Mytilus edulis: one gene and its partner. The protein of the gene in region 1 interacts with the protein of each later gene in a pairwise test. Links are inferred from orthologs where the notes say so. Each region holds a gene or a part of one and is shown on either strand. Other genes may lie near its edges.

Region 1 (16,404 bases):
CCGATCTAATCGGCGAAACATGTCAACAATAAAAGATGCAGTTTACTTAAGTGTTGTTGTCAATGTAGCGGTTTCTGCATACATGTACATTATTAGTCATTTTAATAAAGTATGCTGTCTCATAAAAGACAATTTTCCTTTTCATCATGTTCATCGTTAACATATATAATACACCTTTAGTTAGCATGATCATCTAGTGAACAGTATAGCTATACATGTTTATAATTATTTACATACATTGTACATGTAGTTTGTAATCAAATCTATTATAATTTACAAAAGGTTCAGGACTTCATGCCTGTTCTCGTAAAAAATCAAAGTGTCTTCAATTTCTACATGGTGTACAGATGATGAACAAATATTTGTAGAACCAAAGTAAAGATCTCTACATGTCTCTTTACAATTTAGGTCAATCAGGTAAGATGGAGGTGTCATATAATAATGTAGTGACAGCAGGTGCCCTACAGTCAATAGTTAATGACACATCAGAATGTAAGATGATAATGGAAAAATCATAAAAATGAAATACACAATCTTTAACTCAATCTGTCACAGAATTCTTTATACACATGATACATATATACAACATATTAGTAGAACATGTGAGCTTCCTTAATTCAATTAACAATTAAAAATGTTCACTATCATGACTAAAAGAAAAAAAAAATTCTACATAAAACTTCAAATAGGCCATGTAGGCTAACCCTTTGATATATAAGAAAAATGCAGGTTGAAAAATATTTGAAGAATGTGGCTTCTTGTGTCCTTTTGAATTTCTTGTATCCAATTTCTCAACATGTATCTGAATATGCACATCATGCATCCACATACTAAATAAAAAAAAATATAGTTGGGGTCTGAACCTACAACGCTGTCAGAACGTAATTGATTTGGGTCATCTGTATATACTCATTCCCTTTCATATATAAAAGCCATGAAAACTTTGACAACAATTGTTAGTTGAGCCGCCTGTTGTAAAAGTAGCATAATATATCACATATCATATACATGCATGTATAATTTTTGGCATAAGTTTGGTCTCCATTTTCCTTATAGATTTAACCTTTACAAACCATCTCTTTATTTGTAGTAAAATATGTTGATTACACTAACATTGTGCTATTATAAACAATTAGCAGTCTGAAGTGTCCTGAAATGAATATCAACATGGACAGTATTGAGTTCCAACTATAGGTTAAGTATACATATGACAATGTATGATAGTCTGTACTTTACAACAGTATTATATGCTATAGACTTACAGCTCTATCTGGGTGACCAAAATCAATTTTCAGTTGTCCCATCGCTCTAATAATGGCCATCATTGACTGGATAGTGTTACTGTAGACCACTGGTTTATACTGCAAACATTCTTCTTGGGAATAACCTTTTTCATGTATAATTCTGTAATTGATAATAAGTGTATGTGTAAGTACCATGTGTGAAACTACAGTTGTGGACTTCAAACTTAAGTCTATTAGATCCAAAATTGACCATGTTGACCAAACAAAAACTGTTGCAAAAGGTACACCTCAAAATTCATATATACATACATGTATGCATATACATCAATAATGAATAAACTATTTTATTATATGACTGCATAAATAGAAAATGTGTCCCATTGTCCATGAGACACAGATAAAGGACCCCATTGCATATAAAGTTATTAAGGGACTTATTTCTAGAACAGTAAAAGTGACACTACCCAAATAACCTGAGTTTTATGGTAATATGCATTGTATATAAGTTTCATAACATTTGGTTGTGGCAAATTAAAGTTAGAGAACTGAAACAAATTTTGTGACGAACGTTAAAAAGGACAAGGGTGAAACTTAATGCTATGGGAGGGCATAAAAATTTATCTTTAATCATTTGTTAAGGCTTGGGGAATCTTTTTTGATTAAACATTACCGGTATAATCACCCTAAGAAAAATCGTGAGAGGATCTTAAATTTGGAATGTGAACCTTTTTTTTTTCTAGGCAAAGACAATGATGTAGATTTATGACATCATGCAAATAATCTTTTTTTTTCTCCTTTTTCTGGTTTTTCTGTGACAGTAAATATCATTTTCATAAATGAATTTGATCTAACATTTCAACTTATTAAAGTTAGCAACTGCCAAACAGATAATAATATTAAGGATAACATTATTTAGTTAAATATCTTGGAACAGATACTACAATTTCAGTACAATGTACTATTAGTAATCACTAGAAAATTGGAGATGCATATAATACTTAATAATTGTTGACATTTGATATCAGTTGATAATAACCTCATCAAAAGTCAATAATTGTATAATATTATATATTATATTATACATTATATAAAAAAGATATGTATTTATATGCAAACATCATAAACATGTATGTATACAGTAGTACAGTATTTCGACTCTAGATTAGACATTTTTTTAAATGGTCAAATCGTTATTTTGATTTTAAGAATTAATTGTAAATTTCTCATCCTACTAGACCCATTGCATTGTTACTAGAAAAGATGTGTCAGAACTACATTTTGTACATATATAATCCACATTAAATCTGTTACAAGAAAATTTAAAGTGTACAAGACTGTGAGACTATCTTACATGTATTATGGTCAATTTTCCAGGAAATTAAATTAAAAAGAAAAGTAATTAATCATCAATTAACAAGTCTTAGCTATGAAGTTTCACATGTAAGCGGGATATCAGTGCCTGAAAAAATTTTTGGGGGGCAAGTAAAAACAAGGGAAGTAGTCATAATTTACTGTCCGGGACCGAGTTTCCTGTGGGCCGAGTTGTTACAAATGTCTAGTTAATCAAGAGTTGTCTTCCATTGTTTTTTTTACGGGGGAGCAGCTCTGGAAAACCTCCAATTCTTTACATGATTAAATATTATTTTATAAATTACGATGATTTGAATTTTAGCAGAAGTGTAGGGCAGTCGCCCAGACGTTTTATTTTGGGCCAGTAATTACCAGATTACTTGTCTTTTAACAACTTCTGATCGCCCTGACATAAAAGTGGTTGCCTCAGGCGCTGGATATGGTATTGGTTTTTGCTCATAGTCATAACTTTTAAAAATTTGTAACCTGTAGTATGCTTAATTAATAAATAAGCAGTAGACCATTGGTTTCCCTGTTTGAATATTTTACACTTGTAATTTTTTAGCCCTTTATAGCTAGCTGTTTTCGGTGTGAGCTAAGGCTTTTTGTTGAAGGCCATACTTTGCTGTTGTATGTTCTATGGTCGGGTTGTTGTCTCTTTGACACATTTCCATTCTCAATTTTATTTGACCTATAATGGTTTACAATGCACTTTTCACAACTTGTGACTTGGATGGAGAGTTGTTTCATTGGCACTCATACCACATTTTCTCATATCTACATGTATATGCTTCATTTAAAATCTGTTGGATATTTGACTCATTGGCAATCATACATTATGTAGTTTGTACCACATCTCCTCACTTTATTTTTGTAAATAAAATTACACATACATGTACAAATACAATGTATTACAAACATGACAAAGCTGAACATTAAAAGTTGATAGGTATAAAGTATTTTAATCATATATATTGTGTGTCGACTAATGACTTCAAGGTCACTTATAATAACAGGAAATTCAACTTACATGTATTATCAAAATCTATTAATGGGCATTTGTACAAGCTCTATCCCATCATGGATATAATCATTTAGGAATACATGTATAAATTAAATCTACATTTTACTATTTACAAATTTAAGTTATTGGTCATAAACATGTGGTTTTTTTGAAACCATACTTAATGAGAAAATTCTCAGAATGACACGCTCTTCGCACGGTAAGAACCTATTGGCAGACGACAACTGCAGTTTTATAATTACTAGACCATTTATATGTTTTGCATAGACCCAGACCAACTTCTAGTTTACCATGGAGATTGGTCATTCTAGTATTTCCTTGCAACCCTGTAATGATTTAACTGCGATAAAAAATCCCAAAACCAGTTACATGTACCTGAACAATTTATAAAGTAATCAAACCTGTTTTCATCATATATGCCTTCTTCTGTTTACATTACTAATAAACTTACTTCATTTGTTTAACTATTGTACTCTTTCCAGATTCACCAGCACCTGTAACATAAATAAATATATACATGTCAGGTGTAATAGGAATATTTGCTGACCTGTTTCTCAGACATCAGATGTGGTGGACTAAAACTACAAATTTATGACCCTTTATTTATGCATTACTGGTGTTGTTGTTTTAGTTCAGTTCAGTATTGTTTCCAAAAGTTTTTGGCATACATGATTATACATCTACATTTTTTAATTAGCTGCGGAACCGTAGCTCTTAGGTCTTTGGATATTTTTTACTATTTGTGGACAATAATTAATATCATAAGGATGTGTACAAAATGTAGGACCTAAGAGCTACGGTTCTGCAGCTAACATGTAATATACTTTAGCCCCAATCCCGGATCCAAAGTTTTTTGGTGTCAAGATTTAAAATCAATGTGGGCACTTTACAAATGTAAGTACTAAAATAAAACTTTTTCACCCCTTTGCTCAACATGTGTTGGAAATTTCTATGCATGTATGTTTGTCACGTGGTGATGGAAGTCACATGACAGATTCGTATGAAAACTGTATCCCGGAACTGGCCTATATGTTCGAAATATATATATACATGTACATAGATTGCAGATAAGTCTAATAAAATAATTCTTATTCTTTATAAAAATATTGGTCAACATTTGTCAACTACATGTGTATAATGATGTTGTCAATTGTATATAATAAAGTGCTAATGAGAGAGCCAATTTCACCAATTTACACTGACAATGTTAACACGTCTAATCTGTATACATGTACATTGTACATCAGAAAAATTATGAAAAATACAGAGATCAAGGTTCCTTTGTCATGTTTGGTAATAATAAGCTGGTTTGTGAAGAGTTTACCTTTTTCTGTCAGGGATGAAGTTAAAGTAAGAGCCAGAAAAAATGCCAGCTGTGACATTGATATTTTGTCTGAAATGTCTGAAGTTTTAAAATTTCGAGCCATCTTATTTTAATGCCAGCAAGAATTTCGGATTAAGAAGTTACATGTATGTTTCAGACATTGATCTTAGAGTCTGTGACACTTGAACTGTACACCTAAATTTTATTGCTATTTGGAAATCTGTCCCGCTTGAACTATTTGACACCATATATACAACAATCACTTTTCCAATGGATTGCAATGTCATGTGTGGCATCAGATATTTTGTATTGTGACGTCAATATTTCTGGGAACCTGTGTGATGTCCAGTAATTGCAGACAAATAGCAATTAGGTGTACCTTTTGCTTTGATGCCTTATGTTGATAGTTCAAAGCAAAAAAGTGTAATAGCCTTTATGGAGGGTGGTAAAGTGTTATTTCCGTGCAACATGTTTTGCCATTTTTATTAAACGTGCAGCTGTGAAAAACATTCGTTATTCACTGTGTTTCAGGGCTTCCAAAACGGTCATATATTCCGGTCATTTGTATAATGTCTGGTAAAAGTCCGGCTGGGCAAAGCATGAAACGGTCATATACTTTTTAGTTTTCAAGGCTTTTTCAGTCATTTTTACATAATTCACTATCTTTTTGACCCAACCTTTTGCCTTTAACATCAACACATTTCCGATTATATATCATGTAAATGTGACATGATGATTAATTACTATCAAAACAACACCTACTTCAATACTTTCTAATTTTAATCAAGGCTAATTAGTAGTTGGACAGCTGAAATCTACCTGTTCAGGTGACAGGTGAACTATGTTCAGTACCAGACATCGTATAAATTGATCGGTTTATTCACAATTACTTTCTTACATTTCAGCAGTTTGTATCTAATTGATTTAGTCCAAAAGATTAAAATTATTAGAAATTAGTTTATCAACATGATTTGATGAAAAATTTAAAAAGGTTTTAAATGAAAAATCGTCAGAAGTATTTTGTTGAAGAAATAACGTGGAAAGAGCTTCTTCTCTTAGTTGTGCTTTGTAAACGTACACGAATTTTACGTATTCGTTTATGGTCCATGTTTTACCATTGTCAAGTCAACATCCGATTAAAACAATGTGAAAACGAAAGTAAAGTTTTTGACAACGTCATTTTGCACAAATAAAAAGTCTAAGGCAGATATGAGCACGCTATTGTGCATGTTTTGAACGATGCACTGCCAATTTAACAGTTACATCAGTCAGAGATATAACTCTATAGGGTTATTCCAGGAAATAACTTGCGTTTGTTATCACAGATACTTGCACCTTAAATTTTCTAAATCTCTAATAACATATGCTTGTTATTTGTAAAATTATTTCATTTATAGTGGGCTCTAGCTATATATATAGGGAACTCTTGAGACTTTGGCAGAAACTAAATGCATAGTTTTGATAACAAATTTTTTAATTAAATTAATACATTTTTGATGGACCATGGTAAATCAATGAGTCGAGGCTATTAAGGGATAAACTTAGCTGTGATAACAAGGCTTAGTTATTAAAGGAATGTAACTTATTATATAAGACACTTGGGAATTACTGAGAAACTTACACCTTGTAATTAAGCATGATGTATGTCTGAGCAAATGCTTTGAAGTGATATAGAGAAGCTGTGATAACACCCTTTAGTTATTACAGGCATATTTTTTCTGTAATAACATATAGGTGTACTATGCAAAATTGGCAAACTATCAACTGTTATATCTTTAAATAGTTAAGTATACATATAGAAAAAAAGTAATATCAATAGAACTTTTATACATTTTAACTAAACTAATGATGTATATTGTCCCTTTCAGGGATCTCCATGGATGAAAATTGAACGATGGAGGAACTTTCACCATTACAAACTGTGTCTACGCTGTACAGTGTAGCGAGATCGAAAGTATTTTATCCCTCCATACAAGGAACGGTGAACATGCTAAATCATTGCTTATTTAAATTATATTTATTTGAATTTTCATTATAGAATTAGAAGTATCTATATTTTCATTTTTTAACATTTTTGAAGGCTTTGAAACATGTTATCACAGTTCTTTGATTTTTTAGTTCACACTAACAAATGTATGTTATTTTCCTGTAATAACCATATAGAGTTATATCCCTGACTGTACATCAGAACATCAAATTCATATCATATCAAAGTAAAGTTTAAAATCGTTTTTTTTAATGTAATGTAATGTCAATCATTGGAATGGCCATCTGATTACCATAATTGCCTTTTGTGAGTAAGTCTTAAGGGATTAAAATCGGGATCAGATATGAAATGTCCGGCTGGGTCAAATATTTTTTGGAAGCCCTGCCGTGTTTCATGAAATCGGTAAAAAGATCAACGTGCAAGCAATTTTTAATCATTTGTTCATTGTGAAATTTTATTTCCCGTTCTTCCGTGCAGATACCCCCTTCTATATAGGCTTCATAATTATTTGGACATATTTGGCACATTACATTTTAAGAAAAAAGGGGACGTCACATAATTTTTGATGATATAAATACCCTTCTTTCGAAACATTCACAAACATGTTAATGACAGCATAATCCACACTGACCATAGAAATGGTGTATAATTTAAAATATTGTCAACAGTGAGACTATGAACATGATTGCATTTGGTTTACTTACTGTACCAATAGCCAGGGGGAGTTTGAGGGGTTCGGACGAACCCCCCCCCCCCCCCCAAATCAAATAAGCACTGTTCAAGTCAAAGTTTTGTTCAAATTGTGACTGTTAAAGTCGAGTTCGATTTATTCGTGATAATGTATATATTTTAATTTAATGTAGCATCATGTGTTTTACTCTTTTGAGTGTGTACGACGTTAGACTAAGTTGATATGACAAGGCACATGAATTATTCGTCAAAATAGTCATTCGCAACAATCAACCGTTTTCTGTGTTTCATAAATACTTACCTAATAATAACAATTTTACTTCTCTCGCTGCTTTTTCGCCATCTGCACGAAGTGTTTTGTCAATTTGTTTTGATCTTTCCGATGCGGCTTTGTCGTCGGAAGAAGTAGCACACCCCATAGTTTATTTGTAATGTTAATCCAAAAATTACACCATAAATTATATAATAAATCCAATGAACCAAAAATATGTGTGAAAAATGATAAGAAACACCCAAATTTTAAGAAAACTTCCTGTAAATCGTTGACATTTTCATCGGTTGTCTGATGCTTTTTGAATAAACTCCCCGGATGTGGACGGGCACCTTGTCGAGACTTGAACGAGATTAGCTTTTTAACATAATTATATGGACTTTCTCAAAACATGTTTTTTTATGTCTGTTATTTTTATTAGACATGTCTTTTATTTTTCGATCAATAAGTTATATCAGAGACATATTCTGGTTATAAATGGAGACTAGAAAATATTTTTTATTCATTAAATCCGTATCTTTCAAATTTACCTGCAAATTTTAGTATTTCCTCTTTCTGGGACTATTAAACTAACTATAGTCCCAGCTCTTTTTGATATGGCGTCTATCTATGATGGGCATTGATCATTGGAGGGTCATAACTAATTTTCTCGTGTACTAGCAAAAAACTTGTTGAAAATGCTATAATTAAAATTGAAAAAGCGATATTAAATATTGCAAATGCTCTTTTCGATGATGAAAAATTCTCTTTTCAATATTCCAAAAATCATTTAAGCGTAGGTTTTTTCGCGTTTTGTGTAATAAAGCATTTGCGATAAATCATAAGTATTTGCGATGATTAATATAATATTCGCAGTGATAGATACAGCACTCATAATTTGCTTAATCATGCCTACTGAAGTAATAAAAAAACCTTAAAACTTATAATTTTTTGTCACAGGATTTGCTGTCATAATATATACTTTTGAAACCCAAGGTATCAATAGAAATGCAATATATATATATATATCGCTTAATTTAATTTGATCTATGACATTGAACATTTCGTCAATTTTTTTTACTTTATAGTTTCTGCACCTGAGATCACCCCTAGTTTTTGGTGGGGTTCGTGTTGTTTATTCTTTAGTTTTCTATGTTGTGTCGTGTGTACTATTGTTTTTCTGTTTGCCTTTTTTATTTTTAGCCATGGCGTTGTCAGTTTGTTTTAGATTTATGAGTTTGACTGTCCCTTTGGTATCTTTCGTCCCTCTTTTTCTGCCCACGGCTAGCTTCTTCTTAATTCTCCACAAACTGTAGAAAAGCTTACATTTTTATCATGGATCCACTTATAGATCATGCAAAAATGTTTACTTATATATGTGAATAATTATTGATTTAAATCTTTATATTATATTTTGTTATCTTTTGTAGATTTTTATGCCCCACCTACGATTTTAGAGGGGCATTATGTTTTCTGGTCAGTGCGTCCGTTCGTCCGTCCGTTCATCGTACCGTTCGTCCGTTCGTTTGTCCGTCCGTCCCGCTCCAGGTTAAAGTTTTTGTTCGAGGTAGTTTTGTAATGAAGTTGAAGTCCAATCAACTTGAAACTTGGTACACATCATGTTCCATCTGTTATTATCTTTGTAATTTTAATGCCAAAATACATTTTTACCCCAATTTTACGGTCCACTGTACACAGAAAATGATAGTGCAAGTGGGGCATTCGTGTATTATGGGGCATCCGAGTACTATGGACACATTCTTGTTGTTATTGCTTTTACTATGATTGGAACTTTTGTATTTTATAGCCTGCCTACGTGCATATTTTAATTCTTTCCGAAATGGGGAAACCCCTATTTTATTTTAGTTTATATTTGGCATTTCTATGATAAAAAATAATATAACGCGCAACACAGATTACGCAAAAGACTATATATCCTACAAATCTAAACTTACGACATCGCATCAAAATTAAAAAGAACTGCCAAGTTGATATTATCCTTCATAGTTTTTGCAATCTTAGCTTTATTTGGAAAAATTGAACCATAATGGCTACTAAAAGCGAATTATCATGTCACTATATATATTTCACTTTCATTACTGATTAAACGAAAACTTGAAAAATAATACTTTAGGGTTTTCATATATCTCGTAGCTAATGGTCCCTTAAAATGCATATTTAAGAATTGAATGCTTCTTTTTGTAAATTTATTGGGGTGTAAAAGCGTTGACCGAAGTACATTTTGTATGAAGCGCGGAAGCGCTTCATTCTAAAAATGTACGCACGGTCAACGCTTTTACAACCCTATAAAGTTACAAAAAGAAGCATTCAATACTTATAATTACATTTTTTTAGCTATGATCAAGAAAAAACGAATTTTATATTGTTTTTATTTAATTCACCTGTGCACTTTATTGTGGGACCACGTGTTATCATGAATGAAAAGTTTTATTGAGTGATACAATTGCTTACGGAATAACACGTGATGTGCTGTTAGCTAATCAGAATAAAGTATTATAATGAAACATACATCTAATGTAATTATTAGTCAATACTGGGCAATAATTAAAATGATAAATGAAAAATAAATAAATAAAATAGCCTCCACTAGACCAGGGTGAGACGAGAGCAAGGTACGTTCAAAGTGGAAAGGGATCAAGTTAATATAAATTGCAACACTTGTTTCCCAATCCACTATAAATAAATATGTTTAAATTAAATTAAGGTTCGTTCATATATTTTTCATTGTTTTCTCTTCAAAAATGTCTTACAACTACTAGTAAAATAAGACATGATAAATTACTTCAAAAAAGTTTATCTCGTGAGATAGCACGAGACTACCATAACACATAATCTCACATTTTGTTTTACAGCTGAGACTATATGTCTTTCCTTTTTTAATGTGTTATAGTAGTTTCGGGTCGTCCGTGTAAATTAAGTTCGGAAACTACTTTTCGAGACATATATAATTATATAAATACCCATCAAACTAGGTGAACATTTCAACACGGTAAAGAAACCACATAATATTGGAGGAAAATTGTCTTAAACTTGTCTTAAAATCGTCTTGTGTCCAATTTCATTCCATAGATCTTTATTATTTTAACGGTCTAAGTTAATATTTGTTACTTAGAAAACCTCTTTGAATTATGTATGTTGTAAAAACGAAGTCTGTGACAATATTATAATTTAATTCATTTTAAATGGAAATTTATTTATCAACAACATAGAGCTTTCAAATAGAAATGAGATTAGAGATTTGAGGATATTCCAATAAATGCATCTGTCCCAGCGTTGATATTATATTTCCTTGGCGGGTTTCATCTAATGAAGGGCGTATGTTAGTTATACGTCCCGGCTTGATCTAATGAATTAGATAGCATATATGACATATATCATTATTTCATATCCGTTGAGAATAAGATTCTCTTATTGGATTAAAAGAGGTCACATGACATTCATTATTCTTCAGTAATAAATTCCATCGGTCATTAACAGAAAAAAACGGACCAGAAAACCGGTCGTTAACGAACTTTTACATGATAATGACCGGTGGGGCGTGGTTTCCGTCTGATAATGACCGTTGGGGCGTGGTTTTCGTCTGATAATGACCACTGGGGCGTGATTTCTCTGTTAATGACCGGTGGGGCGTGGTTTCTCTGTTTAGAGAGATGTACCTTTTATAAAACATTTTCCTGTTTTTAATATTATATTTAGGTTGTTGAATTATTTATTATATGTTTTCGTTAATTATAAAATTCAAGATAACTTGATTAAGTATTTATATACTGAAAAATTGCACTAAAATGAATGGCAGTATTACTACGACTGGTCTTCACTGTTTGCCATAGAAATCGTGCAACTACTCGAGTTCGCTGTAGGCATTTTTAATTTATGAGAATTTTCCAAAACATGGTTTCTCAATGAAATAAACATACTAGTTCTTAAAAAAATAGTCATTATCGTGATACATGGACTGCCCGTAGGACAGTCCATGTATCACGATAATAACCAATTTTTCAAGAACTATTATATAAATAAATATTCTTCATAGGTCCACTTTTTATCGTCTAACTTTGCTTATTATTTTAAAATTCATATACATTTATCTATTACAAGATATTTCTCTCTCTCATCATTACCACTTTGTCATATTTTTAATTTAAGTATCAAAAAATGTATTTTTCCATCTTCATTTAAACTGGCAAAGTCATACCAGTTTATAAGAACAAAGGCTCAAAACAAGATGTTTTTTAATTACAGACCAATTGTAATTTTACCACTCATTTCTAAAATCCTTGAAAAACATGTGAAAACACACTTAGTAAAATATCTTAATAAACACAACTTATTGTATAGAATGCAGTCAGGCTTTCGTGCAAATCATTCTTGTCAAACTGCGTTAACAGCTTTAATAGATAAGTGGCTTAAAGCCATTGATGATGGCGATCTTGTTGGGGCAGTTTTTCTAGATCTAGCAAAAGCCTTTGATCTTCTCAATCATGAACTGCTTATTCAAAAATTAAACAAAATTAATACAAATTTGCTTATACTTCATTACGCTGGTTTACATAATATTTGGCTGACAGATATCAGAAAGTATCTATTTCAAATCAGTGACATTATCAGACGTACAAAAACAAAAAACGGGTGTACCTCAAGGATCCGTATGAGGACCGGTGTTGTTTTTAATTTTATTAATGATCTTCCTTTGTCTAATCCTAATCATAACACCGATGTATTTGCTGATGATAGCACCATATCAGTCATTGGTTAAAACAAAAGTTGCATCAGTCAAAAACTTAATACGGTTTTACAAGATATTTTTCGCTGGTGTGAGGACAATAAAATGGCTGTAAATGTATCTAAAACAAAAGCTATATGCATTGGATCTAAACAAAAGCTTTCCGTTACATCAAATGAAAACATTAATCTTGCTTTAAATGGACAACAAATTATAGAAAGTACATGTGAAAAGGTTCTAGGTATTTTTATTTATGCATCTCTTTCTTGGTCTTCTCATATCGATTCTATAATAAAAAACAGTTAACTCTTCTTTAGCTTTACTAAAAAGGATAAAGAAATATTTAAATCACAAAGCTAGACAAATGTACTATAACGCTTACGTTTTACCTCACTTAGATTACTGTTGCTCAATGGGGAAACTGTAATAACTTTCTATTAGATAGTTTACTAAAACTGCAAAAAAGGGCAGCAAGAATAATTTTAAATGAACATGATTACACCAAACCTCCAAGATAATTATTTCACGAATGTAACATTGTGCCAATCACACAAAGAATACTTTATCACAAATCATTACTAATGTATAAGGCAAAACATGGCTTAGCTCCAGAATATATGTCCATGCAGTCGTATTTTATCAGCTTCTGCAAACCAAAAATATAATACGAGATTTTCATCCTCAGATAATTTTATAATTCCAAAACCAAATACAGAGTTGTATAAGTCTAGTACTGTCTCGTACACTGGACCAAAAGTGCGGAATGCTCAAAAATTCAAATACAGTATCAGAATTTAAACATAAATACAAATATATGTACTTTAAACATTACCATCATATTTGTACTGTAATGCCATATCATAATAATATTGTTTATTGTATTTTAAATTGTATATAATCTTTATTTATCATTATTATTGATGCACTGTTTATTTTTAATGTAACTATTATTGTTTTAAAAGAGCCTTATTGAAAATTGATGTAATCCAAATGAGTTACTCTCTTTAAATACAGATATTATTATTATTATTATTAAAATACTGTTTTTAATTGGTGCCGAATAAACTTTAAAATAGGAGGTCGTTTGTATAATTTTTGCTTTCTTTAACGGTTTACCACATATACCTATAACCGATTTCGTGTAGTAAACATGGCTGAATTAGTTAATTGGGTAATTTATGGTAAATCATTTTGTCGAATTGATTCGATTTAACAATTTATGTAAAAAAAGAGTTTTGAGACGACCATTCAAACGCCGAATGGACCACGAATTGGGAGTACATCTCGATCATCGGAAGTAAACGTCAGCCATATCATCAACAACTTTCTGTAAAATAGGAAAACTGAATTATAGTTTATGTCGATGATATTATGCATCACACCGGCGTAATAAGACTTCACAGGAAATGTCTGCTATCAGTTCTAATCCTGTGAAAGACACAAACAAACAAAGCTTCTGGAAGAAAGAATCAAATGTTCCAGGAAGGTATACCGCAAACATACTGTTTATAAAATAGAAGCGTTTGAAACTTTTCCTGTCAACGTGAGCTCAGTGAAAACTATTGACTTCTTTTTATTGGCATAATATATATTTAAACTTACAATACACACAAAAATAACTACATTTATAAAGATGCAGGAAAGCATAATGCATGAAATAGTAACCAGATTATTTGTTATGTGTAACTGTTATTTTTATATGGTCCAATATGGCAATAAAAATTATTGAAATCCACATTCGCTACCAGGATCCCTCTGCACCCTACATGTTTGCATTGTTTTAATGGTTGTGGTTTAGTTGGTGTTAATTTATATGACTTATAAGTTTATTATTATAAGATATAAAAGATGAGTTTTTTTTATTGTTTTTGTTGTGATATTATTATACTTATTGTATAGCTATAACTACCTTGTATGGCGCCGTATAGCTTCTACAGTTGGAGTTGTTAGTTGTCCTTTACATCAGGATCACGTCCGTACAGCTAGGCCGATTTGTAACAACTCATTAGTCCATAGCTTGCCATTCGGAACACTCTGGACTCTTCATGTAGCTTATTCTTGTACCGATGTGCTCCACATTTTAAAAGAAACTAAAGTGTCATTATACAGTTTTGGCTGGACCAAATTCTTTTAGTGCTCTTTGCAGGGCTTCAGATTTTTTTTTGAAAATGCACTTACCCATCGGAAAGTTATCTTATAATTTACTTTCCAATATCAATTTTCACTTTCTCCGTTATTCTCCTCCTAGTCTGAAAAAAGCTTATACAGTCATGTTAACAACAATTAAAAAACGTAAACAACTTTATTTACATTCCTGTTTTAGTCTTATAATTTCTTTCGCAAATTGGCAGAGATGAAATGTGTATGCAAACTTGTGGCTTCATGACCTCCATTACTGTATGACTGTTTACTGATAATAATTACCAACTGATGTATACGCAAGGAAATATATATGTGATAACTTAGGGAACCAGTTTCTTAACTAGATTTTGTCCCAAACTTTCTTTGTCAGCAGGCGCGGATCCAGCCATTTTAAAAAGGGGGGGTTCCCAACCCAGAGGAAAGGGGGGGGGGGGGGGGGGGGGGTTGTTCCAACTATATGCTCCCATTCAAATGCATTGATTGGCCAAAAAAAAGGGGGGGTTCCAACCCCCGGAACCCCTCCTCTGGATCCGCCACTGGCCAGCATGATCAAACAAGAATATTACACACACTAGAAAGTACCACTTACTTACCTGACAGGAAACTGGTACCTGGGTTTTTTCCTACCCAATGATTTATTTACTTTCCCCAGGAAACGGGAATTCAAAAGCCTGACTTTGAAATCTTTTTTCATAATGAATATGTCGTTCATATAAGATTATCTTTCATGTTTTTCATTTAAAATCTTCATTGTTTTTTACTCACCATGCTCATACCAAGCTTTTAAACTTCCGAAATCGAAACGATTTTGTTAGAATTTTGTTTCCTGGTCACACTGCAGTGACAATCATCAGTATTACCAAAGACATACATGTATATATACACATATGTGTCTCTGGTATTAGTGCTGTGGAAGTCAGGTCTTATAGTTGTTATAAATTTTGAAATCTTTGAAATTACCACTGTGTAAATATCTTTAACAAGATCAAAATCATGTCTTTTTTCTTTCAGCATAAAACCTGTTTATGGAGCCCAACATCCACCTCTTCACGAGTCAATACCAAAAAAGTATGTTGTTGATACTACTGAATACACAAATTTTTATTTTAAATATTTTATTTACATGATATAGTATAAAATAAAGAATTAAGAAGTTAATAAATGTAATGTTGTTTTGACCAAGACTGCATACAAGTTTAAAGAAATAGTTACTTTGCTGAACATTTAAATTCGTTGTTTATCTATAACCATCCGACAATGAAATCTACGAAAAATAATTTGGTATTCATTGAAAAATAATCCACAGTATGAAAGGTGAAAAAGGGCAAAATATATGATTTAAGTTTTGGAACCAGTAATTGATACAATATTTCTCTTAACAAAAAATCACACCATTTGATCCAGGACAAATCAACAATTTGTGTTATAATGACAAGGCAAAATCAATTTCTAGGAAAATCATTTATGAATTTGAAACATCATTAGATGCTTTTCGTTATTTTATTGTAGGGAAGAGAAGATGAGAAGTGGTAAAAAGGACGCATTTCATGACTTTGAGAATAAAACATCTGATGCTTGGGATGATGGAGACGATGACTTACTGTTGATGTCAAACATTCCTATGTCAATACGAGATGTCCAGTCAACAG
Region 2 (16,839 bases), on another chromosome or scaffold:
CGCCACTGTTGTGTGCGTACAGTGTCAGAGTAACACATTTCCCATGCCCTTTTCTCGATTTCCTGATCGCCTTGATATCTGCAAAAGGGACCTTTTAAGAACGTTAAAAATAACTCTAAAGATAAATCGTAGCTTCTTTATGATTATGTGTAACATTTTATCTACAAACTAAATTCAATCAGCGTACATGAAGTCCGTGTCAATCCTGTTACCGCTTCTTAAATCAGCTGTTAAATTGTTCTCCCTATAAATATTGAATAAGCCAGAGTTGATTTTCAAAGCGCAAAGTAACAACATTTAACACAGAACGTTTCTTGTATGACAGTGTAGGGAAAAGAAATTTCATGACATTTAGTGAAAAAATAGAGGGTACTTTTTGTCATGTCTATGCTGTTACCAGCATATTGATTAATGATATCAATATTTTACTTGTAATTAAAAAAGTGCAATAACGTGTTGGAAACCAAAATCACAACAGAAAAACAATATCACTTCATCAAAGGGAGTAGTTATTTTACAACATCATTAAAAAATGATGAAAGTCTATTTTACTATGGTTGCTCAATGTTCGCAATTTTGCATTTGCATGTGTAATGCTGTTATCGGTAACAGGATAGACAAAAAGGTAACAGGATGGAACTTTATATACGTACGCTCCTGTTACCAATAGAATTTATAAAGACAAAAGTTAATTAACATGTGATGGATTTACTTGATGTTGGGTTTATTTGAAAGAGAGACTGAAAAATGCTGAACATTATGACTTTTACATTACTGGTGGTTATTTTTATAACCTCTGAAGACTAATTTTTAGAGGCATTTTTCAGTACAAAGTGGAAAATATGCAAAAAATCTATTATTTCACAGAATGACTATATATAGAAGTTTATACTCTTGAAAACCATCTAATCGACTACGAAAAACAAACTTAAAATTTTGTCTTAACATTTTCTTAATAACCCGAATTTTGTTTTGAATATGGTAACAGGAGAGACGAAATATAGCACGACCTATCAAAAAATGTTTCAAGATATTCTTGTATGACATTATTAAGATTGCATCTTTTAATATATTGTTCTATAAGTATTTGCTCTAATGTAAAAAGTTGTTTTGATAAGTAACTTTTAATAAATTTGCAAATTCAAAATTCGACATTTTTTTTTAGATGACCCATGGCCATACAGCCCATAATATCTTTCAATCAGCAGAATTTGTCACCAATGATCACCGGTGTCTTCCTCCTATTCCCACTTTGCATGTAGTAATGAGGTCGAAGATGAAAAACATTTTCTTTTTTAATTGTGACAATCTATCAGACCAACGAGATGATTATTTTACTATAACAAAAGTTAATTCATATGTTACAGATTGAATTTACAATAATGATAATCATGTATAACCGGCATTGAACAAACTAATGCTAATAATGCTAATGCTAATCAGAGACATATATACATGTGTATATATGTCTCTGTGCTAATAAAGTCCACTTCATCAACTGTGTCTCCATCATAGAATGGCCGTCCACGTTATTTCATTCGGGAAATGAGTGTATTAAGCTAGGTTTACATTGCCGATCAGATCAACTCGATCAAGCCCGATCAAGACAAATTACGCGTGATCGGGAGACTGGTCTGACTCAATCGACAAGCATGCTCGGGATAGTCTACCTTGCTCTTTATCGATCTGACTTTCTACCCGAGAGTTTTTGACATGTCAAAAACATTCGAGTAAGGATCGAGAAGCAATTCACTCGAGAAGAGATCGAGAATTCGTCGAGTAACGGTCGAATTGATCGGGAAAGGATCGTGAAGGGATCGAGTTTGGTCGGAATACAACAATTTTACCGATCAGTACTCGATCATTTCGAATGTTGCTCGACTAATGTCCGATTATTTCCAGATTAACTCGACCAATGCCCGATCGCTTCCAGATCACTGCGATTTTTATATTTATTTTATCCCAGACCAATTCGACCAATACCCGATCCCTTCGCGACCACATTCGATCACTCTTCGATCTCTACTCGGCCATACACGAGAACACATGACTGCTACACGATTCTTTGAAAGTGTGTGCAGATCTGATTGACTCTCATAACTCTGCTTCCGCAAAAATATATTGGCAACATTTTTTTTATTGTACAAAAATTCCTCCATGTACAGTTCGTGTCTTAACTTTTGCAAGGAGAGGTAATTTAACATTTTAAAAGAGAGGCAAAAGACACCAAAGGACCAATCAAACTAAAAGGCCGATAACCGCAAACCGACACAGCAATAGCGAAAAACGAAAACCGACCAGAAGACAAACAGCAGTCAACATAACATAGAAACTGACTAAAAACTAGCAACACGTGACCCAGCAAAACCTGGGAAGATCTCAAATGTTCCGGAAGGGAAGAAAATCCTGCAATTTTGGCACCGGCGGATTTTTCAAATATGAAGTAATTGTGCAATAACATTGATTTCATTATTATTGAAAACTCCGCCGGTGCCAAAATTGCAGGATTTTCTTCCCTACCGGAACACCTGATATCGTACCAGGTTTTGTTGGGTTACGTGTTGCTATGTGCATGCGTTTTTGACAGTTCAAACAGGGTCAGCAAACTCTGATTAAACGATGCATTTGTTTCTGCTTCTGTAACGTTTAACAAACTATAACAAACAGCACACACCGTTTAGCAAACTTTGGTGAAAAAAAATGCAATCTTGATAGATATTTGTCAAGTTGTAAACAGTTTCAGAAAAGGCATCACTCCAGGGGATTGAAATTGTACTTTGGGTGAAATTTTGCGGAAATATGTGACATCTTTGCCCTCTTTTGCAATATTTTTTAGCAAATACATGCAGGTTGTTGCCATACAGCAAATAGAAAATGAATATTTTTAACCCTTCAACTACTGGATATCAAATCTATGAAAAATACTGATTACATACTTATGCACAATATATGACACAAACGGTACGCTTTATTTGTAAGATAGAAAGGACAAGGAGTGGTAAAGTTTATGTATATTGCCGTCTATCATAAGTACTAATCCAGAGACAAATCTCATTTTGTGGTGTCATTTCCCAAAAAAGAGCTATACAACTACCATAACATATCAGTGTCCACTATAATCAAGTTTTTATAAGCATTGGGTTCCTCTTTGTTGAGTTAGTGCAAGTCTCTCATACTGCACACACAGTGGTCATCGTGTCAGCCACTGCCTCACCTAGATTTCTCGGCGCCCGTTTCTGTCTACATCATTTTCTATGCACTCTTCAAACTCCGTCACAGCTTTCAGTGGCGTAGCTGGGTCATTTTTACGTGTACGTCCGAACCTTGGCGAGGGATATGAGGGGTGTCAACCGCTCAATGTCAAAGCACCTGTTGGTAGTGGGTTCGAAAGGGACGAAGCCCCTGAAAGCTATCGAGAATGAGATACCATAATGATTCAAGTCAGTAAAAAATCATTGATAACAACATATATATACTTTTGAATCTCAATCGTTTATTTTTTTGGTTAAATCTTGTAATATGTTAACTTATTCATCGTTTTAAACTTGAAGCTAGCCTAATGGTCATTGGTTTTAGAGAAAACGTCTAAACCAATATTACTTTTAAATAAGTTTAAAGGGTGTCGTGAGTGAGCATACAATCAACAAAAGCACCTCTTGATGAACATGAAAAAATAAATATTTCTAAGAGGTGCAGTATAAAAAAAATCTGGAACACCTAGGACTTCTTTCCACAAAAAGTGAAACAATTTATCTTTCCTTTAAATGGATTTAAAAAAAAATCTAAAATTTTCTTTTGATAATTTTTTCTTGATCTGGAATATTTCACGACAATCTATGAAGGTTTATAAATTGAACATGTAAAACAATTAATTGCGTAAAGAAGACCCCGGCTATCTGTCTATCAGAAAAGAACCGGAAAATGATCGAATGAAAACAAATGCTTTCAAAATTTTAGCTTTAGACACTAGTCAAAGAAAAAGTTTCTTCGGCATATTTCATAAATTTTGATGAAGGTTCGACAAGTAGTTAATGTAATTGAGAAATAACAAAATGTAAGCCCAAACCCAAACTGCGACCACTTATTAATTGCAGAAAGAAATACATTTTGTCTTTAAAATGCGGGCAAATAAAAGATATAATTGCATTAGTATATTACTCTGAATACTCTTTTGATCGTAAACAGTTTCTGTACAACTTTCGTAAAATTTCACAGAGAGTCATTCAAAAGACTTTATCCACATTCGGAACCTAAATATTTACGCCGCTTTGTCTCGCTTTTTGGACATAAATCACAGGCTCGACAAAAATACAAACAGCATATCGAATCTGAGCAGATAGTGAATTGCTTTTAATATAAGAAAAGTACGTAGAATTCATAGTGGATTCAGACTTTTACAAAAGATTCGAACAAATATATTAAATGATCTATTTGAGTAAATTTAGTCCCTTTTCATTCAAAACTACAATTCATTAAAAAAAGAAGCACAAGGCTGATGTGCTTTTGACCAGTTTTTCTTATTCTATGTCGATTATTTTGTTTTATTTTCAAAATTCAAGTGTACACCCGGGCGTTTTGACGTAAACGTAGCTACGCGCATGGCTATTAACCTGTCCCTCGGAGCTTTTTTAACACCTTGTCCACAAATCCAACTGCTTTATTCCTATGTAGATATTTTAAATGTATGATTTTACCTGGACCTTCTACTGAATATACCCAAATAAACGGAGAGTGTGTCCAGCTAGCATATATAACATTATACAGGGTCATTACGCAAGAACGGCCAACCAAATTCGCATTTGAATTGTGTTTTATGGTAATAAGCATTGTGTATACGGCGTTTCATAAAATTTGGTTGAAGCAAAATAAAATTAGAGAACGGAAACTAATAATGTTGGGACGTACGTGCGGACAAAGGTAACACTAAATGCCAACTCCGAAGCGTCGGGGAATAAAAATTTCCGAAAAAATGTGCATACCCGACCAATTCGAAATTATCCCTACGACCCATATATACGATCTGGTCTGGTCAAGATCAGGTTGAGATCGTGAATAGTTGATTTGGTCTAGATAGTCGAGTAAAGATCGTGTAAAGATCGTTAATTGATCGGAATTATCGAATAAGTATTCATTTTGTTGTCGGGATGAAGTCGTGTTAAAGGTCATTAAGGAATCGTGAATGGTCGAGTTAAGGTCGTGTACAGTCAGATGGTAGTCGGGTAGAAGTCGCAAACAGGCCCGATCAAGAATTTGGTTGAGCTTGCTCGTGGAAATTTGGACAGTCGGGATAATCGAGTTGATCTTGATCGGCAGTGTGAACCTAGCTTTAACGCTAACAGACGTGAGACGTTCTGGCGTGTAATAGTGGACACGTTTTGGCGAATAACAATTATCGGACACGTTTGGGGGTTCTGAAATGGGACAAGTTTGGGGATATTGAACATTACGGACACGTTTGGGGGAAATAGACACGTTTGGGGGAATCGGACACGTTTGGGAGTGTTACAGATATAATTAAATTAGATGTAAGTTTCAATAAAATACGTTATTCTGATTGGCTTACTGCACATCACGTGTATTCCTTAAGCAATTGCATTACACAATCAAACTTATCATTCATGGTTGATTTCTTGTTGTGCTCCTACAGTACTTGCGCATGGATCGATTTCTTGTTGTGCTCCTACTTGCGCAGATGATTTAGCCATACTTAGTAATTGTCCGTATGAAACGCAAATTTTAATTGATATGGCCTTTGATTTTAGTAAACGTGAGGCATACTTATACCAGCAAAAAGTTGTGTTATACAGTCTAAATCACGTCACCATGAGAAAGTAAATGATTTTTTTTGGAATTTAGGCAATTCGACTCTTCCAACTTCTAATAAAGCAACACATATAGGAATATGTCGTACAGACGAAGATTCATGTAAAGCAACAATAGATGAGAATTTAAAGAAAGCAAGAAGGACACTATTATAGTTTAAGGTTTATGTACCTTTCTGTAGCCATTTTTGTACGAACTTTTCAAACTTCAATTGTATCAAAACTACAGATATAATGAATAATAGAGATAGGCCATTTTGTACATATTCCAAGGGGAAACTTGTTGCAAAGCATTATTTTTTACTGTTCCATTGCATTTAATAGAAAAAGAGGACTTTGTGGCAAATAAATCAAGATTTTTATAGAAAATCCACAGTCTTTATCCTTGTACTCTCATATTTGGCAATTTGATGACTGATAGATATAGGATTATTGCATGCAGTGCTAGCATTGATTTCCTTAAAACAAGTTTATAAATGTAGTTATTGGTTAAGACAAGTATAAATATGGCAAAAATCAAGTACACCTTTTAGGGTGCGCTCGACTTTAGTGACTCAGCACGAGGTGTTTTGGAATTTACAGGTTACTTAGAACTTTTTGTAAAAAATAAACACTAGCACATCATAGAAAATCAAGTGAGTAATTTATGTTTCAAATTTTATAACAAAAATCTCTGTATTAAAGGCTGTGGATTTTCTATAAAAATCTTGATTTATTTGCCACAAAGTCCTCTTTTTCTATCAAATGCAATGAAACAGTAAAAAATAATGCTTTGCATCAAGTTTCCCCTTGGAACATGTACTAAATGGCCTATCTCTATTATTTATTATATCTTTAGTTTTGATACAATTGAGGTTTGAAAAATTCGTACAAAAATGGCTACAGAAGGGTACATAAACCTTAATGGGGGTTGGACTTTATGGTGAAAATGGACTAGATCCACAAACCTCAATGTCAATTATGAATACTTATATTATACCAATAATGTTATATGGATTGGAAATAGTACTTCCTAGAGGAAGATGTTTAGAAACTTTAAATATCCAATTTACTAAAGTTCTTGAAACAATTGTTATAAAAAAAAATTCACTTGACTGGGCGGAGTTTAACCGTTTCGCTCATAATAAACCTTTCCATCTATAGATAGGTGTTTTAGGATAAACTCATCAAAGAAGTGTTCAGTTATTCTTTTGTAAATTCCTTTGATGGCACTGATAGGTGATTAGAAATCAGTAATAATTATAACGGCATCACACACATCTTCAAATAGACTGCCCTTATGCAAACGTAAGCTCCGCCCGATCAGTTGAAATGACATTGGTAATATCTTTACCAAAAACAGTAGCCGATCCTGCTACATATATAATTTCTGGGATGTTACCTGTAGAAGCTCAAATAGATGTAAAAAAATTAACTTTTTATCGAAATATTACTAGACAAGGAAAAAGTTCTATTGAATGGCAACTAGCGGAAAGGCAATTAAATGTAAAATCTATTAATAGTAATAGTTGGTTTAGTTTACTGAGGAAAATATTTTTGAAATATGAACTTGATGATCCTGCACAATATTTAGTCAATCCAATTTCTAAATAGCAATGGAAAAGGGAAATAACTTCCAAAGTTCAAAAAATCTTGATCGAGAAGATACTGAATCAAGCAAAACTTTATAACAGTTTAAAATATTTATCATTGATATATAAACCAGGTCGTTGTCATCCTATTGCAAATACAAATACTATGAATTCAAGGGAAATTATTAGAATTCCTACAAAATTGAAAATAGCTACTGGGAGTTACATTCTGCAAACAGTTAGGGCCAAGTTTATAAATAATACAGAACTGTCTATATGCAAACTGTGTAATGAAACAGAAGAAACTTTACCACATTTTTTATTAACGTGAAAAGTCTAGAAGATATCAGAAAACCAATTTTGGTGTTTAATATGAAAGATGAACAATTTGAAATTTTACAACTGATTATAGATCCCTTTACTTACATGGCAATGTTAAGAAATGAAAAAGTTTTTAAAGTGAAAGGTATAGACTGTTGCAATTAGATGATATAAAGAAAAAGAAGAGAAATTAAGTAGATAATAACATTATACATGTTATATGAATCCTAAGTGACGATTGGTTGTCTACTCTTAAACAGTGATATCTTTAGATAAATATTTTAGATTTTAAAGTATTTAATGAGTTGATGCTGCCTATATTGACATTAAGCCCAATTTTATCGTCAAGAATATGATGTACAATGTAAATAGTGTATAGTGATATTGGTGGAAGATATTTTTATTCATGTTGTGAACTCCACTACTCGGAAGAGGTGTGCCGCTACATTGGCAGAATGTATATCAGTGGCGGATCCAGCCATTTTAAAAAGGGGGGTTCCCAACCCAGAGTAAAGGGGGGGGGGGGGTTCCAACTATATGCTCGGACCAAAAAAAAGGGGGGTTCCAACCCTCGGAACCCCCACCCCCCCTGGATCCGCCACTGTATATTACAGATTACAGATTCATGATAACACGAGGTCCCACAAAAATGTGCACAGGTGAATTAAATTAAAAAAAAATGATAAAATTCCTGTTTTCTTGAACTCAGCTAAAAAATGTAATTAGTAAGTATTGGATGTTTCTTTTTTGTAACTTCATACTAGGGTTGTATTAAAAGCGTTGACCGTGCGCACAGTTTAGAATGAAGCGCATATATATACGAAATGTGCTTCAGTCAACGCTTTTACAGCCATTATGAAGTTACAAAAAGAAGCATTCAATTCTTAAATAAACTTGACTCAAATTAAAAGCAGGGAATTTTTCAAAATCAGTACAAATATACTCGATGAGACTTCTGATTGGATCTAACAAAACCAAAGTTCTTGCTGACTGGTGGTTTTTTCTTTTCTTTTTCTTTGTGGAACAGTTTAAGTTTTTTTCAAAGAACGAGATATAATAATAATCTTTATTTGTCATATAAGTAACATTATAACTTGTGACATAAACAAAAGTAACAGCAACAATAAAATAACTGAGTTAAACACACACATATCTATATATATACAAGTAAAAGTAACTAAGAGTCCCCTGTCCTCAGCTCTAAATTAAGACTGTTTTATAAAGGAACCTGTTTTTTCACTTGGTTTATATTAGAAGGATTTAGTAGGACTACTAGTTTTTCAGTATCAGATAGATTTGGAAACATAGGATTATCTATATTGCCATGTCATTAAAAAGTTTTATACGTAAAACATTATTAATTTGACAGTGGAGGAGAAAGTGATTTTCATCTTCTAAGGTTTTACAAGTTGGACATGTTCTATTGTCTCGAGGTATTTTTAGATATCTGCCCTTCTCAATGAGCAAATTATGGTCACTAATTCTAATTTTTGTAAATAAACGTCTAGTTTCAAAATTGTGATATTTTTTTGTAAAGAAAAATATAATCACGTTTCTTGTCAATAATCAGTTCAGTTTCGTGTATATTTCTCCATTTTAAATTGTGGAGCACTACCCAAAGGGTATAGTTTTAGCAACTATGTACACCTTCTTCTACTTCTACCGGATAATGGCCACAATCAACTAATTGAATATTTTGCCATGACTTAAACCTTAAAACACAAGGAAACAATTAATTATATACAGATGACTGAATTTGGTTATAATGATCACTAAATGATAGATATCATAATTAATTCATAGGATTGTCATCATAAAATTTTAAAAGATAAATAATAATTCATATGTGCTGGGTTGTAAGAAAATGTTAGGAAACAACTGCATATATTTACAAATAAGAATTAAAATGGTCTCAAATTAAAATTACTTTATCATGTTTATAGTGTAATTTGAATTTAAATATTTTGCGGCAATTTGAATCACCCAATGGGATTACGGCTGCGGTTCACGTGACCTTACAGTCGACCATTTTGGAAGAACAACAACAAACATCGATGGAATCATAAAAAGTTTTAATTACATGAACATGATAACGTAAATGTGTAATTGAAGAAGGTATTTCTTTAGATATTTTTTTAACTCTGTATGTGGCAGTTTAAAAATCCCGAATTGCTTTAAACCCATCAAATAATATAAAATTGAAAATGGTACCTGGCAGGTGCCCGAAGTAAAATTTATTCGAGTAAAAAAAAACAATGCCAGGCCTACCAGTATATGCCAATTTAAATTCAACTTGTCTCCAAGTTTAGTTAATGCTTTTCTTTGTTCGTATTCAAAGTAGGAATAGTTGCTTTATGAAACAAATAATTTTTGTTCACTAGACAAAAATGTTTAGTGCACTGTTTATCGGGTCGTTTCGCCCCAATACATGTAAATTCGCCCCCAAATCGTTTAATTCTTTTTCTTGGCACTGCTCTTATGTTTTACAAAATCACATATCAACTTATAGTAATCAAAAAACAGACTGACTAATTATAATACAATCACTCAGGCAGCCACGGAACATGCACACACCCTCAAACCAAATTCCATCCTGCAAAACAAATACAGCATTTTTTTTCCATGAACAATTAAAAACTGGATCACCCTTCCTTCTTCTTCTTTTATAGTAGTTGGAGCCTAGTAGTTAAACTCAATAATGAGTACTCAATACTTGTGCGTTACTCAATAATGAGTACTCAATACTTGTGCGTTACGTAGGTGTTGGTAATGTCTATTTACAATAAAAGATCAAAGATCAGAAAAGAAAATACGGTGCATGCTGCGAATGTAGGACAGAAAGTCACAGGACAAAAAGTCACAGACAAAAAGTCACAGGACAAAAAGTCACAATTCATTTTTTCTGATTATTTTCTTTGAATAAAAACCGCTTATTTCTACAAAAATATTTTTGTATTTTTCTTGAACTAGTGTATATAAACCAACTTTGTTAACAAAATTTATCAAAAAAATATCAAAGATGATCAAATAATTGTTAATAAAACAAAATGTCAAAGTGGTTTGGCACTTAAATGGCTTCATGGTTCCAAGAAATGTATCTTTTGCCTGATTAAAATTAAATAAATCTTGATTTTTCAAGTATAATGACAGGGCCGTAACTAGTGTTCGAATTCAGGGGAGGCAGGGTTTTGGGGACGCCGATTGAGGCACAGCCCCCCCCCCCCACGCCGATTTTTTCCCCTCAGTCAAATGGCTAAAAATGACCTGTTTTCCTTCGATTTTCTTACTTTAAAATTCATCAGTATTGCTTGAACCTAGAAGCAATTTTTATGCAAAAACAAACTGAGATTGCTGTTCGGGGTGAGACAAAGCTCCGTCTTGAAGTCCGTACTTTGAACTATAATTATTAACATTAAATACATTGTGATCACCGATTTTTTCTCTCTCAATAAAATGTCTAAAATTACCCGTTTTCCTTCAATTTCCTTCCTTTAAATAAGACTCATCAGTAATGCTTGAACCTGGAAGCAATTTTTTGCAAACATTTATTATCAGTATTTAAAAATATTTTTGTTAGAAATCAAACTGATAAGTTAAAAAAAACCATATAAAGCAAGATAATAGAACGCAAGATATCTTTTTTTATCGAGGACCTTGAATTTCAATATTGTTGAAAGCTGAAAAGACATGTTTAGAACTACAACGAATGGGAGTGTTTCAAAACTACTAAGGCATTGACCATAATGTTCTCGTATGATTGGGAGACGTACTGTCCGACTAGACACGTTAAAAAAAAATATCAAAAAGCTGATTCAGCCGGTAACGTATTTCCGATATCATAAAAGATTCACAATACAAAGGGAAAGAACTTCCCCTGCTTAATTGAGCCCCCAAATAAATGTGATTAGTTAAGTTTTATTTCAAATTGTTGAAAGCAAAGTTTCATATGCGACATAGGAAATACTAAAATCAGATGGATGACCACACGAAAATACTCAAATCAAGGATTTGTATAGTAAGACTATACAAATCCTTGCCTAAATCAAATCTTACTATACAAATCCTTGCCTAAATCAAATCTTACTATACAAATCCTTGCCTAAATCAAATCTTACTATACAAATCCTTGCCTAAATCAAATACTGAAATGGTTCACTTTCGATAAAAAATTCCGGAAAATGACAGATATATCACGTATCATGATAACTGTTAAAACTGTAAACGTGTGTGGTTTATAATACAAATTCAAGTTCTTCTTGTACATCTTGTCAATATTTCATTTTATTACTTAAAAAAAAATTCTAGTGTAGAAAATTCAGGGGGCCTCCCCTGCCTCATAGGTAGTTACGGCCCTGAATGACACATTTCCTAAACATGCTAAACTTTAATATGAATATATGTATTAAAAAGTAAATGTTTCAAAATATTTCTCTTATATATTCAAACAATTGTCACCAAATTATTTGTGACTTTTTGTCCTATCAAATTTGTGACTTTATGTCCTGTGACTTTTTGTCCTGTGACTTTCTGTCCGTTTACCCATGCTGTACAGTTGGTGCAGGATAAAATCATTCCATCATCTAGTTAACCAGTGTCTTGAAAGCTTTGATAGTGGGAGCTTTCACTGTCGATTCCGGTAATTTATTCCAGGCTATTTAATACTGTTCTTGGAAAGAATGAGAATTTGTAGTAATCATGTCTTCGGCTGAAGATGGTGTATGCCATGGTACATGTATTGTAGTGTCTTGATGTTCTATTTAGTCGAATGAGGTAATTATAAGTATCTGTTGGAACTGCTACTAGTCCATTTACAATTTTGTAAAATAGGCATAATCTGATATTCACTCTTCATTGGTAGAGAGGTATCCAGTTAAGCTTGCTTATCATGCTTGTGACACTTGATTCCTTACTGTAGTCGTTGAAAATATAGCGAGCTGCTCTTCTTTGTACCCGCTCTATTTTGTCAATATTTTCTTGTGCATAGGGATCCCATATGGCTGCGCTGAGTATTGTAATGAGCTACTCTTTATACACATTCGAAGCAGCCACCTCAACCTAGTATACATAGACAGTAAATACATCATGCATTGTCATGTGTACAAATATTTTTATCTTACTAATAAAAATAAATATATATATAATTTCTTCATACATGTACATGTCAAATTACTTCCCATCTCAGAATTGATGACCTTACCCTGCACACCCTTGATTTTCATTCTGAGGTGAACCCTGATTTACATGTAACTGTACATGTAAATCAATATTTGGGTAAACATTTGCCAGTATAATTTCTCTACAGAAAGTTCTTACATTTATGAATAGTATAGCACACACATGTACATTAATCTTGTGCATTCTATACACTGTTAAGTTATCACTGCTAGTCAACTCAGGGCTCAAGCTACCATATATGCATGCGACTTGGGCAACAAATTTTTCTTCATTCACCATGGAAGTATTTGTACAAACTACTGATCAGAACTGGCCCAGCTATGACTGAAATCCAGTTCTTATGATTATGACTATATGGAAGCATGAATGGCACATGTACAGCTGACAGAGGAATATTGATCCCAAAAAGAAAAGCTACACATTCAATGCGCATTAACATACTTAGATCTACTTGTTTAATGTATATATATATGCATTGTTTCAATTTATTAATTAAAATTACTCAACTCTCAGTCTGCGAATATCATCATTGATCATACCATGTCCAAGCTTAACTGTGTTAAATTTATATAACTTTTTAATGAGAAACACTGAATTTCATAAACATGATAACAGAGTTTTTTTTAAATTGAATTTTGATTGATGTAACAATTTTCTTTTCCTTTTTGATATAAAAAAAATCTTTTTTATTATTGCTAGATTTTGAACTGTTTTTTTCTGACAAGAGGTACAAATTGAACAGTATAAAAAAAATAAGATGAACATCAAATTACATGTATCTCTATTTTCAGGTGTTGTGACAATGCTAAGTAATAATCCCTTGCCCCCCTTTCCATGACTTCTTAACTACATATACATGTACCTTAGTTTGCTTGATTGCCTTTAAAAAGCTTTAGCTATGAGAGCAAATAAGATTAAAATGGGATCGAGAAAAATGTCTAGGTACATGTGGCTTAAACTATTTTTAGAAGCACTTACATGTACCTGCATGGTACATATTACATGTACATCATGTACATGATCATCAGGTCTGATATTTGCGACTAGTGTTCACAGTTAACATACATTTGTATATGCATGTTTCATGTGCAATGAAGCAAGCTGAAAGGGGTTCAGTTTGCTTCAATCTTTTAAAAGAAAGAGAAAATTCATCTGGTTGTTTGTGCTTATTTTCTTATTTTGAACATTAAGGGCATCCGATACAGTTTCTCGATTAAATGTCATTTTTATAAATTTGTAATATGTTGTAGGCCTTGGCGAGATATAAAATAAAACACAAAATAAAACATAGGTCACCGTGCTTGTTTTCGAGAAAATTGAGGCTAAAAATTGGGGATTTGTGCAATTTTGTAAAAAAAATTAGGCAATGTTAAAAAAAATTTGGAGCAGATATGTTTCGTCGTAAATTATTAAGATCGGGTTCAATCTGAAGCTGTGATAAGTGACAAAAAGGAAAAAAATAAATCACTACATGAATAACTATACAATTATTCAAGCCTTGCTTGTCATTGCGGACCAGATGCTCAAAGTGGTATTTTTTTAAACCTAAAAAAATAAAAATAAACTGTTTCTGAAAATGTCATTTTTATGATTTTTCTGCATAAATTGCATTTTGTCATTCTTTCTCCAAATCCCAAATAAAAAATATAGGTCACCGTGCTTGATTCCATGATAAACACGATTTATCCTAAAAATTGCGTCCCCCCTTTGCAACCTCAACGTTAGCGCTAAAGTGCACGACGTCGTTGGCAGACAATTTCGACGTTATCTCTGTAAATGACCGGAGACATTTTTCAGATGTATAAATATTGCTTGTAAGATGTGTAAATTACTATCTATAAATTGGTAATATTGTTTCCGGAAATAAAATCATGTGAATAACAAATCCCTCTCTCTGTTTGTGGTCTAAGTGAGAAATAAACATCTCAAGAAAAGTTATTACGGACTGTTGATAATTTTTACGGCTTTTAAAATTAAATACTCGGCAATTTAGAACTTGACATGCATACAGGTACATTTACTGTACACACTCGTATATTATTTCATACCGTATGTTGACCTCTAGATTTATTTTCTTTTGTTTGGTGGGCTGCTGTTTCATTACAAATAATCCTTTAAATCCTTTTATTAACGTTTTAATCACTAAGAAATCCGGTTTTGTTGATACGAATTAAAAGTTAACGTTGTTTGGACAGTAAATCAAATTAAACGCGAATTAGAATTTACGTTAGTACGTAAAACATTTTGAATGCGAATTAAACTAATTCGAATTAGTTGCATGTAATGCGAATCGAATTAATTCGAATTACGTGTGAACTCATTACAGGGGTTAAAAAATCCACTAGCCTGACGCCCGGGACTAGATCATTTACGCCTCGGGCAATTAAAATGTGTAATCCGATATGCCCGACTGACTAGAAACAAAAAATTCTTGGCGTTTCCAAAATAGAAAGTGAAAAATCCCTTCATCACTATTCTAAGTTAGCGATTTCGATTCAATTAAGTCATCCGGGATTTCAAGAATTTGAACTGGTTTGTACAGGTCCTGTTGTACATATTTTAAAAATAGAACAAATAACTCTGTTATGTCTGGGTGGCCTGGTATCATGTGTTGATTGCAATTCTCGTAATTTAAATATCGATTTCTCATACCATGGCTTGGGGTATAGAACATTTTCAATTAACGGTATTTGGGGGTATGATGTATTGATTGGTCATGATCTGTCTTGTTGCACAGCTCTTGAGCACGAAACCATGCAACAAAATATTTCTTAATATTTTAGTACGGGAACCCCAGGGACTTCGTCAGTTTCAAAACGAAAAACGGTAGATGAAGGGAGTAACCAGGATGAAATTTTATCCCCCAAAAATGGTAAATACGACAAGAAAAAGCCGCTGTCCTGTCAAGTCTTTAGTGCGAGACTCACACATGTTCATGCTTATTTGGCGGCATTTTCCTTTGATCTCTTGTTTTTTTTTTCTCTTTGATCTTTACAATTTGGCCAAATAAACACACAATCATTCACTTCCTGAAAAGTTGGCAGAACTGTGACACATTGATTCCTCTGGCAAGGTTGGCTGTTGCTGATGGAAAAAAACAGACAATGCTCTGTGAATATTGCCGTTAGTTGCCCTAAGCACGCCAATAAAAAGTCTGCTTTGAATGTGGGAACAACTAAGTTAGGTTAAGCACCAAAATAATGAATAACAGATCAACAAAAATGATTAAATACAGTGTATAATGTCTCCTTCAAAACAAAGGACACCCATTTTATATTATGCATCAAACTCTTGATTTTTAAGGCATACTAGGGCTAGCAGGTCAGTTTTGATGGACTAGCAGTTCTTCCAACAGGGCTAGTAAAATCCTGCTGCCAATAAGTCCTGGGCTAGTAAGTTGTAACAATTTTTTTTAACCCCTGCATTATTATCCTGCAAACGGAACTTCTTTTTTTGTACATAAATTGTAGCACATAAATTATTTTTTTCACCGTATAACGCGTACATAAAATATCGCACGTCCATTCCTCTGTCTGTCCTTCCGGTCCTTCTGGTTAATCACATTTTTCAAGTGTACAATTCTTGTTAACTTTCTGTAAAACTGATATCGTATAGACATGCTCGAAAATCACTGCATATCAACTATTCTTTAAAAGAGTTATGCCATTCGGAAATATTGATTATATTGGAAATTGCATTGTATTTACTGTCATTCCGTCATTTCTCTAATATATTTATAAAAAATATTTAAAAAAACCAAAATTAACAGTTGCGCTACGAGCGCATGATACGCCCGTCGTCTTATGATTTTGAATAATATGCTGTACCATGTTTACGACGGACAGACGGACCGTCGCGGGCATTTGTATACCATAATATGTCCCGTCAAAATATTTACGGATGTATAAACATATTGTTGGCTATTGCCTTTTGTTAGATAAAATACGTGC

The links.
Region 2: the proteins of guanine nucleotide-binding protein G(i) subunit alpha (region 1) and regulator of G-protein signaling 12-like interact in a two-hybrid assay, tested with the Drosophila melanogaster proteins (2 studies listed by BioGRID). The link is inferred for Mytilus edulis from reciprocal best matches to the Drosophila melanogaster genes Galphai and loco.

Annotation. Positions count from the first base shown.
Region 1 is NC_092344.1:74,218,131-74,234,534, forward strand, and holds the start of guanine nucleotide-binding protein G(i) subunit alpha, read right to left. Parts: upstream 8,262-16,404; 5' UTR 8,039-8,261; coding exon 7,921-8,038; intron 4,113-7,920; coding exon 4,070-4,112; intron 1,405-4,069; coding exon 1,263-1,404; intron 1-1,262. Other genes in the region: TBC1 domain family member 22A-like, read left to right, coding at 14,020-14,099, 15,767-15,823, 16,265-16,404. UniProt on the Drosophila melanogaster protein: Guanine nucleotide-binding proteins (G proteins) are involved as modulators or transducers in various transmembrane signaling systems.
Region 2 is NC_092347.1:15,952,562-15,969,400, forward strand, and holds the start of regulator of G-protein signaling 12-like, read left to right. Parts: upstream 1-9,702; 5' UTR 9,703-9,829; intron 9,830-16,839. UniProt on the Drosophila melanogaster protein: Acts as a regulator of G protein signaling (RGS).